Oreochromis niloticus: one gene and its partners. The protein of the gene in region 2 purifies or fractionates together with the protein of the main gene of each other region. This does not show direct contact. Links are inferred from orthologs where the notes say so. Each region holds a gene or a part of one and is shown on either strand. Other genes may lie near its edges. The genes, in order: scaf1, polr2g and ctdp1.

The links.
Region 1: the proteins of polr2g (region 2) and scaf1 purify together in Homo sapiens (affinity purification with mass spectrometry; 3 studies listed by BioGRID and IntAct, counting the BioPlex papers as one, with this or other methods). This does not show direct contact. The link is inferred for Oreochromis niloticus from reciprocal best matches to the Homo sapiens genes POLR2G and SCAF1.
Region 3: the proteins of polr2g (region 2) and ctdp1 purify together in Homo sapiens (affinity purification with mass spectrometry; 4 studies listed by BioGRID and IntAct, counting the BioPlex papers as one, with this or other methods). This does not show direct contact. The link is inferred for Oreochromis niloticus from reciprocal best matches to the Homo sapiens genes POLR2G and CTDP1.

The regions. Positions count from the first base shown.
Region 1 is NC_031969.2:2,175,652-2,179,402, reverse strand, and holds the start of scaf1 (splicing factor, arginine/serine-rich 19), read right to left. Parts: upstream 2,519-3,751; 5' UTR 2,451-2,518; intron 2,436-2,450; exon of another isoform or gene 2,289-2,435; intron 1,444-2,288; 5' UTR 1,347-1,443; coding exon 1-1,346.
Region 2 is NC_031966.2:22,184,326-22,188,076, forward strand, and holds the start of polr2g (DNA-directed RNA polymerase II subunit RPB7), read right to left. Parts: upstream 2,285-3,751; 5' UTR 2,159-2,284; intron 2,014-2,158; 5' UTR 1,818-2,013; coding exon 1,806-1,817; intron 1,541-1,805; coding exon 1,431-1,540; intron 1,286-1,430; coding exon 1,126-1,285; intron 22-1,125; coding exon 1-21. Other genes in the region: uncharacterized protein si:ch211-175m2.5, read left to right, coding at 2,568-2,618, 2,707-2,880, 2,960-3,059. UniProt on the Homo sapiens protein: Core component of RNA polymerase II (Pol II), a DNA-dependent RNA polymerase which synthesizes mRNA precursors and many functional non-coding RNAs using the four ribonucleoside triphosphates as substrates.
Region 3 is NC_031985.2:31,526,031-31,529,781, reverse strand, and holds the start of ctdp1 (RNA polymerase II subunit A C-terminal domain phosphatase), read left to right. Parts: upstream 1-1,518; 5' UTR 1,519-2,112; coding exon 2,113-2,408; intron 2,409-3,547; coding exon 3,548-3,631; intron 3,632-3,751. UniProt on the Homo sapiens protein: Processively dephosphorylates 'Ser-2' and 'Ser-5' of the heptad repeats YSPTSPS in the C-terminal domain of the largest RNA polymerase II subunit. This promotes the activity of RNA polymerase II.

The DNA of each region.
Region 1 (3,751 bases), on a different chromosome or scaffold from region 2:
CTTTCTTCAGACAGGCTGGAAAACGACCATCTGGTGTGGGCATCTCTTCTTGAAGAATTGCAGGACCGTGAAGTCTCTGGGCTGCTGTGCCATCTTTTTTTCCTCTTCCGACTGCTGCTCCTGCTGCTCCTTCTTCCTTTATCCTCTTTGCCCATCTTTTGCGCCTTTTTCTTGTTCAACTCCTGACCCCACTCTTTGCCTTTCCTTCTCTTTTTTCTTCTAATCTCCTTTTCTCCGTCTTTTCTATCTTTGCTTTTTTGTTGGCTGTGGCCCTTGGAGTTTTTGCCGCCCTGATCTTCAGGAGGCGTTAAAGGGGATGAGGATGTAGAGGTTGGAGGATGAGAAGGAGGCGGCGGCGGTGGTGGCGGTGGCAGCTGGGGGGAGCAGGGTGAAGAAGCAGGAAAGGAGAGATATCGTTCCTTCCTTCTGCTGACCAGCTTCCTTCTCAGATCCTCTACTCCTACCACAGGCTCATCCTTGAGCTCAGTGTCTACTTCCCAGCTGCCCTCTGTGCAAACAGACACAAAGCCATCCCCATCTAGCACTCGGAAGATTCGCTCTGGCTTTGACCCAAAGAAGGAGATGCTGGGAGAACTTAGGGGGAGGGTTTCCTCTACAGGTCTCTTAGTGCTTCCATCTCTTTCAATGGCTCCAACTATCTCGCCCTCCTCTATCTCAGAGTGATCTGAATCAGCTTTCATGGTGCTGCAGTCCACCCTCCTCCTCAGAGGGAGCTGAGTGCTCAGACAGGCGCTTGGAAGGTCAGTGAAGGCGTCCGTGGAATCTGGAGGTTCCTCCACCTTCTCCTTTTCTTCTCTCATAGTGTTTCTCTTCAGGATCCTTGCTTTGCCACTCTCATCATCAACATCTGATGCTGGGGAACCAGTGGGGTCAAAAGGATCGTATTTCTCTCCTTCCCCCACCTCCTTCATCTCTGTTCCTTCTCTAGCTCCATTATTTGGATTGAAAGGATTGTACATCACCCTTTTCCTCTCCTGTTTTTCACAGTCAGCACTTTGTTGCATTAAAGTGTGAGGCAAACAATCTGAGGAGGTGGTACTGCATGTAGGTTTAGAGAGAGACTGCGTAGCTAGAGAGGCAGAAGTGGAGGAAACCCTGGCTCTCTCTGTTCCATTGAACTGGCTTTTTACACGGCTTGGATAAACTGATGTGTTGGCACACATAGAGGAGGATGTAGACAATGGTGAAGATGGACTGGTTGAAGGAGATGATGCAGACAATGAAGGTGAGTAGGAAGGAGGGCTCTTTGAGGTCTCTTCAACTCCACCTGGGGAAGAGGAGGCACCAGGCCTCCTTCTGAAGCCTGTTGCCAAAGTCAAGTCCATGAGCCAGAAATACCGGTGGGTCAAAAAGTGAGGGAAGTAATACTGAGACACCTAGGGCGTGGCAGGTCACACCAGAAAACAGGGCTCAGGAACCAACCTTGCAGAAAGAAAAGAACATGTGTCACTTTACGTTACAATATAATCCAAGTGGAAATGCTCCGTGGAGAGCCTACGATCGTGACAAATGATGAATACCATGGTGGATACTCAGAGGTTAGACTGTTTCTACAATTGTGTTGTCAAAGAGAGGGCATGTCTTTAGTACAGTACAGCGAAACAAAGAAAAGACTGACTGAAGGAATTTGAATGATATTATTATTGTTGTTACAAAGAGCTAAACGTTCATCTGCCTGTTAACATGCTTCTGCAGTCGGGAGTGTAATCAGAGTTTGGAGTCCAGTCATACGAAACAGAAGACCAGAGCCAGTCTGAGGGGGCCCACTGAGTCCCACTGCGCTCTCACCAGGGTGAGCTGAGAGACAGCTGAAGGCAGCCGTCGGAGGAGTCGACCCTTACACCGGGTCAACACACACATTTTTCAGTCTACACTCATTGAACACAATCATTAAAAAAAAACTGCGCAGCACATGACTGTCTCTCTGTTGTTTACACGGTGAATTAAACATTACCGTCGTTCTCCTTCTCTGTTGGGACGCTTACGTGATTTCTGACTTGTAAAAGAAAAGAAAAATACGTTTAGCTTCCATATTAGGGACTTTTATTTCTCAGTGCTTGTCACAGATAGCATTATCATTAGATTTTCGTGCCTGGACAGCGCGCTGGCTGCTTTACAAAACATCTTTCCGCCTTGCGTTTTGACCATTAACTCCATTATGTGTAATGCAGGTTTGTCACGGGTCGCACACTCGATTTACTAACAGACGCTAAAAATGTCTGGCGGCAGATTTTCAGTTACCCATGTAGCTAATTAGCTTAGCGCACCTAGCAAGAAGAGGAGTATGTTGATGGGTTCCCTTCATCCCGGTGACCTTCTGTCTCAGGCCAAAGCCACCGCTTCACATCTACTGGCTGTTACTTTGTCAGACATTCAATCAAACCACGAAATTAGATATATGCTGCTTTTTGTGGTGCTTAAATACGTACCAGTATTTAAAACGGGTCTGTTCCACCAGTCACCGCCATCTTCCCTCCCCTGAAACCGGACACAAAGAATGATGGGAAACCGAGTGAATCGCAGGTGCTACAAAAGAGCCGCATACATCGTTTACCACACACCATTAAAGTTGCCTTTGATGTGCCGTGATCATGACACCGTTACACATTTACACATAGAAGTTCAAACTGGCTTTTAAAAAAGTGTCTTTTTTGTAACAACTAATTCATTTCTGCTGTGACTGGTTTACAGACAGCTGTCTGAAGTATGCTACCCTAAACCGAACTCATAGATCAAAGTAACATGAACATGTTTACTGTCATAACTCACTTTTACTTTTAAAAGGTTTGCATAAATGGATTCCATATATGAAGCATCAAATGTACCAAAACACAGACAAAGTTTAGAAATTGGCAAAAGCAGAACTCCTCAGGTAAAAACACCTGTTACTAAAGTAAGGAGACAGTAGTTCTTCAGCACATCCAGGCTCAGCTGGCTTTGAACATCACCCATCCATCCAGTGTCTGTCTATCCCAGCTGCCATAGTGTAAAAGCCCGGACAGGTCATCCACCGGCTGCAGGGCTAACACTCATATTTACACTTGTGATGATAACCATGCATGTTTTTGGACTGCGATAGCACATTGGAGTGAACAGACATGATAAGAACATGCCATCCAGTATGGCCACAGCAGTGTTGTGAGGTTCTTCTTATTCATATCTTTAGAATATAATTTCCCTCTTTTTTAAATACTAACCTTGCTGCCTTTTCTTAGGATTTTTTCTCCTTCTGGCTCTTCAGTAAAACAGGTACTGCTGTGACATGACAAACCCAGCAGACTATTCGTACATGTTCATATTAAACGCACAGGTTAGTTGTTGGGTTGGCGCACGAACAAAGGAGAGAAGTGTTGGGCTACCAACACTTTTAATTTGTCAGCAGTGTGTATGCAGACCAGAGGTAAAACACCACCCGTGTGCATAACTGAAACATAACAGACTGCACTGTGGCTGAGACAAAGTCCAATGTTTGTGTGCAGAGTGTCTAAAGTGGACCAGCACATTCCTAACACGTGTTAAAAACTAAGCTCTGTACTGTAAACCGTAGAAACGGACTTCACACATCAAACAACCACACAAAGCCATTTAACATAAGCAACATGAAAACTGCTGTCACAGATACACTATTTAACACGTTTTGGTTCATTTGTTGCCATTGTCTAATTTTATTTGTGTAAGGCAGGTATATACATTTCCAAACATACACAACATGTAGATTCAAACAGTTTGT
Region 2 (3,751 bases):
TATTTCTGTGAACAAACCGACCTGTAAGAATTACAGACATATTTAGAAACATTTCAAAAGGAAGACAAAACACTATTCTTTTTCAGCAATTCATGACTTCATTTTTTAAAACTGGACACATTTAGTTTAACACTTTGGCTGTTAAAGTGATTCAGAAAATTCAGAAGTACATTTTTTTTTATATTTCTACATCTTATAGGATGGCTGGAATACAGGATATAGAGACAAGAGAAGGGAGAGGTGGTGGCAGGTTTTATGCCAAAGCATATCAATTCGATTTAAGTCCAGACTTTCACTATGCCACTCCAAAACTCTTATTTTAGCTTTTTAACCATCCAGAGGTGTACTTGTTTTGACTCATTGTCCTGCTGCATAATCCAAGTCACAGAGAGCCTCAATGCACAGACAGCTGAATGCATTTTTCCATTTGTAGTTAAACACTCTCAATGTTGTTCAGTGGAGTCCCAAAACCTTAGAAATGGCTTTGTAACTCTTCCCAGACTGACATGTGTCATTGACTTTGTTTCTCATCTGTTCTTGAGTTTCTTTAGTGTGTTGCTTTTTGAGATCTTTTAGCCTACATCACTTTGTCAGACCAGTCCTACTTCAATTCAATTCAGTTTTATTTATCTAGTGCCAAACCACAACCACAGCTGCCTCAAGGCGCTTTATATTGTAAGGTAAAAAACTAACAAACATGGAAATCCCCAACAAGTTAAGTGAGTTCTTGAGTCAACAGGTTTGACAGTGATCAGCCCTGGGTGTGGATAGTGAAACTGAACTCAACTTTCCAAAAAAAATAAAAAATTCCAAAATGATTAGTCATATTTAATGTAAGATTTAAAATGTAGCAGGAATTATTTTTCACACAGGGCCAACTAGGTTTTGGATAGCTTTTTTCCCCTTAATAAATGAATTCATTTAACACTGCATTTTGTATTTACTAAAGTTAAAACCCTCTCTCTGATATAATTTTTTTTTGATGATCATCAAATATGAAAAAAACAACAACAAAAAAAACAAACACAAACAAAAAACTAAGAAATCAGAAAGGGGGCAAAAACTTTCCTACAGCATGGTATGAACACTGTGTTAGGGCTTTAAGACTCTAAACCTGCCCCTCACCTTGTTAACCTGAGTGACCACTGCATCCACAACTTCTCCTTTAAACGGACGGAAGACAATGGCCTTGTATTTGACTGGATAGAGGACAAAACCTCTGCCTGGTTGGATTACGCCAGCTCCGATGTTGTCAATGGTGGTAACTGCAATGACGAAGCCATACCTGCAAGACAGAATTAAACAAATTATTTAAATTGCAAAACAACCTCCATCTGTGGCCCAGTTTTCCAGAAGCCAAAGGTCAAATTTCAACCTCTTTTTAGCCTTTGATTTAAAGTATTTTTAAGTCAAACACAAGAGTCACTCACTTGCCAGTGCAGGTCCCCTCGACCTCTGTGAAGAGCTTCTGCTTCACGGTGTTCAGCAGATTTGGACCAAAATATCTCGGATGTAGTAAGATTTCGTGCTCCAAAGAAATCTGTGAAAACAAGGCTTCTCTAAATTAGCTTGCCGTGGACAACGTCACTGCTCAAGCTATTCTGCTGCCGTTCAAAAACAAGAGAAAAAACACTGGTATCATCTCCACACAACTATAAAAGCGCAACAGTGATAACAGCTTTTAAGGGTATATGATAAAGTTTTACAAAGCTACAGTAGCTACAAGCACGCCAGCCAAACTCTTATCAACAACAGAACCAGACTGCTGTTAGCGATTATATACGGAGAGCAATACAAATACTTACATGGTAAAACATTTCGGTCTGTTTACGTTTAGTCCCAACTCAAAAATCGTTTTATTATATTTTCCAAAAGATGTTTTTTCGTGTATTGAATGAAAACCAGCCGCTCGTTTGTTCTTGACAAAGTCACTTCCGAGTCAGAGGACGATGTTGGGATATGGGATGTTGTTGCCCTCAGTTCTGTCTCTCAGGAGCGTGTCGCTTTTCTTTCCTAATTTTGGTAGACACGAAAGTCAGCTCTAATAATCACAAGTTAAGTTAAATAATAAATATTAATAACAATTTAAATACTTTATCTGCTTTATCTAAGAATCGCTTAATTAACTATTTAAACGACCCACAGAAATCAGGCTAACCTTTTCAATCCAGTCACAGACTGACCCCTGTCGGTGAGGAGGACTAGTGCGTGAGGGTGTGGACGTGCAGCAGGCGTGCCTCCATACTGGGTTTTGATTGGTTTGTTTTCCACGAGACTATTAACATCTGACATATAAACGAAGCAAAAACGAGTTATTTGCTAACACGGTAGCTAATTAATGGTCAACACTGCTTCAGTTATTGTGTAATGTGACGCACTGTGGAGTCGAATAGGTGACTGAAAGCTGGATAGGTAAATATCCCTGTTTAACTTAGCGACATTAGCTCTAACTTTGTGCCTCTTAAGGATTAGTCTGACTTCCTTAAAAACCTCTTCGCCTGGATACAGCAGTAGCTGACTGACGATCAGATTAATCTCACACCAGCCTCCAGTTTCTGCTGACTGACATGGCGAGTAACCTCGTCTCGAAGCTGTTCCGCCCTCCTCTGACACAGCTTGTAAGTTGTTCCATACTTTTCCACTTTGTAGGCTATCTCCAGCGCACTTTATGGGTGATTTTATGTGACTGCGCTGTCCTCCCTGCAGGTGTGTCTCCGTTCAGGTTGCTTGTTTCGGGGGAAGGGGGCGGCGGCAGCAGCGACGGGCACCAGATCTTCCTCCAGTGGCTCTCCACCAGAGAAAATCAGCCGATACCCAATTCCTTACAAGAAAGATCTGCCGTATGATATAGTGGAGCTTATGGAGGAAGTGGAATCAAAGGTTTACATATGAGGCGTTCAAGGTCTTTAAGTCTGCTGAACTTGATTCTGCTCCCCATTAAACCTGTGCTTCCTTACAGGGAGGATTTTTGCCCAATGTCTTTAAAGTGCTGTCTCACAGGCCGGCAGAGTTCAGAGCCTTCTTTGCATACTACAACGAACTGATGAACAAGGACACAGGTGTGCTTGTGTGCTGTATGTCTTTGTTTTAGCAGCAGGTGCGTTTTGTCTGAGATTCAATTGCATGGACAAACTCGGGGAGGTCCAGGGCCTTTCTGTGTGGTGTTTGGATCTTCTCTCCGGGTACTCCGGCTTCTAAGACACCCTTTTAGTGAGGTTAGGTTAATTGGTGAGTCTAAATTGGACAAAGTGTGGATAGATGGATGTTAGATTTCCTGACTCCATGTAGTCTAGACCTGTTTATTAATTCTTCCTTTCAGAAAAGGATTTCTAAAATTCAAAACCTCCATCGTTTGCAAAACTACACATGTAAATCCTGTCACATTCCAGGATATCTATAGCACTCTGGGTTGTGTTTGGTATGCAGGCTTAGCAGCTACCTTTAAAAAGAATGCATTATATTGCCTGGTATGAATGAATGTATCCAACACACGTAAAAATGAGGTCTTTTCATACTTGCTTGCACTGCAGGGGATTGATGATGAAATCACAACTGGAAGATATTTGTGAAATATATTCCTGTAACAGGGGTTGTTTTGTTTTAACTTTTAAAATACTGCTGTGTTTATTTTCATTTCAGATTATTTTGGTAATGTGTAACCTGTGAGTCACTGTTTGTCCAAAAGAAATGTGTTCAGTAGCTTAGAAATGGGACAGCGCCCTAAATTATGTTTCACAGAAAGTTAAAAATT
Region 3 (3,751 bases), on a different chromosome or scaffold from region 2:
TGTGTAATGCAGATACTTCCCTCCACTGTGTGTGTGTGTTTCTAAAATTAACGAATGTGCAAAGGAAAACTTAATTTAACATCAAACGTTTTGTTAATAACTAGAACCTGTCTTTAGCAAATAGGTCTATTTATTGATGGAAATAGATTGTATAACTTTAACCACACTAGTGCTAAGTCCATCCATCGACCCACTGCATCCACCCACTGACAATGATCTAGGTTAGGTAACAGAAGCCCTCTTGTGTGCAATATACATAATTTTATTTAAAATATAATTTCAGGAATTTCATGAGTTCCTTTAAATTACTAATTTTGCCTCAATGAAAAAAAAGAAGATTCAATTTCATTAACCCCACATATCAGACAATCTTCTCAAAAGCATAACAACTTTCATAAATTTAATAAGAAAAAAAATGTCTATTTCATAATTTGTAGAACATAGTATAAGATTATTTTTAAATACCAAACGTTAACGGAAGTTGCTATAAAATACTTGTGTAAGCTATGTTTTATCGCTGGTATTCCAAGATTATTTCTAGGGCTTTTATTGTGAAATATAAGAAGAAAGGCGTTTTCACACCTGCGTGAAAAAGAAATCGGGTAGTGAAACATCTCGGTTAGTTGAAACGAACACTCTGGAAGGAGGTGCTTAAGTTCTACGTCATTGAACAGTTAGAACAGCGCGAGGTACGTCCTTGTCCTGTAAGGTCATCATCTATCTCCTCTGCTTCCTTCCTTCAGTCCCATCTTCAGCCTGGAAAGTTAAATATTAACATAACTCGAGGGTCGGTGTAATCTATACAATCAAACCTAAGGCTTTCTTAAACTATAACAACCTCCTTCACTTACACCTTAAACATGACTGCATTTGTAAATATCATGCTCTTATTGCAAAACCCCCATGAGACACTTGTGTAGTGTTACTTATATGTTACATCAAGTTGCGTCAGGTAACACCATGTCTGTGCGGGTTCAGGGGCTTTAACGAAAAAGGGAAAAATAAATAAAGATCTTGCACGGTTCGAGTGGATTTTAACACAATATGTAAGCGCTATGTAGGTGATATCTATAATAAGGAGTAGTTAAAATAACCACATTGGTGACTCTAAAAGTTTACGGCAACATTGTGAAAAGCGTCACAAAGAGGCATCTGCCGATAATAACAATCCACGAGTCGTTTTATTTTGAAACCTAAGTAGAAACTGCGTTCAGAGACGATCGAGGGAAGTAGTTTCATTTCCTATTAATCCCACTGTGCACAAACTGACTGTAGATTAGCCAGCGGCACCGCAGAGGGCGCCGGCGAGCTCGTCCTCGATGATCACAAGTGTAAAAGGACCTAAACGGCTAAAACCTGCTTCTAGACAAAAACCCACAAATTACTATTATTATTAATTTTTGCATACCTATAATTTTGACGACCTAAAATATAACAACAGTTACGTCATTTCCTTTATCTTAAAAAAGAAAGAATCGGATTTTCCGAAAACCAAACCTGCAAGTTGATTGGTCAATTTAGGATTCACTAGCTTCGTGCCCAAAATCAAAATGGCAGATGCCGTAAAGTGTCTTATTATTGCGCTGTCACATAAAACGCATTTTAACTACAATCGAACCCCGTAAAATGTTTTTCGAAATTTAACTGAGTCCATTGTCTCACATTCACCTATAAAAACACACGATTAAAGTCCCCAGCATAACATTCTCCACAGAATTTACATTTGGGGGCTTCACGTCCACGGGGATGTATTCATTCTGGACTACCTCGCGAGCGCCCTCTAAGAAAACAGGGATCCAAAGAGTGGGCGTTCTCGGAGACGATAGCAGTTCTCTGGTGTTTTTCGCGAGTGGCTTGCTGTATACCGGATGCTGTAGCGACCCGTGTCGCTGCAGTGTTGCGCTTTCCTGTTTACGGGCGGGAAGAGCGAACGTAGCTGGGACTGTGGAGCTGCTGTGTTTAAATCTGCAGCACATTTGTTTTAATTCTCCTCGATGTTGACGGTTCGCACGTTTTAATGATACACGGGGCTTTGCGAGGTCGAGTGGATACCTTTTAAGCTGTCAGCTTTTCAAAAGTAAGGAGATTTTGTTTTTGGAGAGTGCGGGGCAGATGGAGGATCCTCCTGCAGATTTTGGTGGTGGCGGCGGTGGTGCAGCTGCAGAGGGCCCCGTGGTGCAGGTGGCGGATATCTGCTGGCCAGCCGGGGCTCTCCCTGTCCGGCTTATAGAGTGGAAAGTCAAAGCCGGCTCTCTTGTTAACGTGGACTCCGTGCTAGCACTGTGTGCACCCATACCTCAAGAGAAGGGGACTGATGGTGCCAGGCTGCCAGAGAAGAAGGTGAAATCGGACCGTGCTGGAATAGTGAAGGAGCTATGCAGTCAACTTGGACAAGTCATATCTCCCGGGTGAGTCACCCTGCTTGCTATAGCTCGTTAATGTTAGCTGACCTGTTCCCTGTTTGTGTCAGCTCAGTTTTGTTGCAGCTGTCTTCATGCTCACTGTACCTAAGCTAGCTAACGAGCTAACACTGTTAACCTGACGTTAGCTTGTTTGCTAGCCACGCTCAAAGCAACACAGCGGAGCGTTTGCTCTGACCAGTCAAGTACCGCAAAATAAACAAGCTGGCGTTTCGTCGGGGGCTTTCAAAATAAGAGCATCGTGTTTTATAAATATTATTTTATCTAGCTTTGTCAGGAGTTGTGATTGTGGTGAAAGAGAAAGTTAGAAAACAATTTTATTTGCTATATCAGAATTTTGATTAACATGCAGTAATGATTGAATTTACAAACCTCCGCACTTTTGTTTTGAAGGCGCGACCACGTGGTAGATGCTCTCGTGCTGTTTGCCTTGACGCAGCCACTATCGCGTGCACAAAATTGTGTACAAGCAGTGCAGATTGACAGGTAGAAGAGTGACCCTGGAGGCAGCCGTTATCCTCGTGAGCTTGAACCAGCCGTGTATATGTATGTATGTGTGTGTGTGTGTGTGTGTGTGTGTGTGTATGTGTATATATATATATATATATATATGTACTTTAACGCGTATTAATTCACAGTAACGGGAGACGTGTATCTTAGCAGTTAATTAGTAAAAGAGGAGATTTTGAAGTTCTCTTTAATTGGTTTGACCGGTCTCTTTGTGCTTTATTAAGTATTAGCATCACTTCTTATGCGGAATATATCAAATTTAAAAGAAATGTCCTATTTTTGAAAACTTTACATTTAAATTCGACACCTTTTGATATTAATACACATTCAAAGCTGATATAGTTGTTATTTGCTATTAGGAAAGGGTCGTGCTGCTTTCAGGTACTCTTTGTAAACTCTTGCTCCCGGCTTAGTCTACTGTTAGCTGTTTATAATACTTTAACAGCGTCTTATTATTACAGCTATATAAAGTGAAACACCTAATTAACAGCTTTCTTTATGTTTCTTTATGTACTTGCATGCTACAGTTAATGAGAATCTGTGCACAGTCCCAGGCTTCAGTTTGCAAGCAAGTTAATTGGGTCTTTAATTATTTTCCTGTTTTTTCCTTTTTCCAGGGGCATCATAGTCAGAATAGAAGAATGCAGCCATCCCATCGTCATGAAGGGCTTATGTGCCGAATGTGGTCAAGATCTAACTCAGTAAGTACATGCTTTATCTCTCTTTTTTGTTTGTTTGTCTTTAACTTAAATCTTTGTGTTTTTCTGATCTGCTCAGGCGTTTTCCCCCCAAGAACTTTAATTTCCCCCCTTTTATTGCAT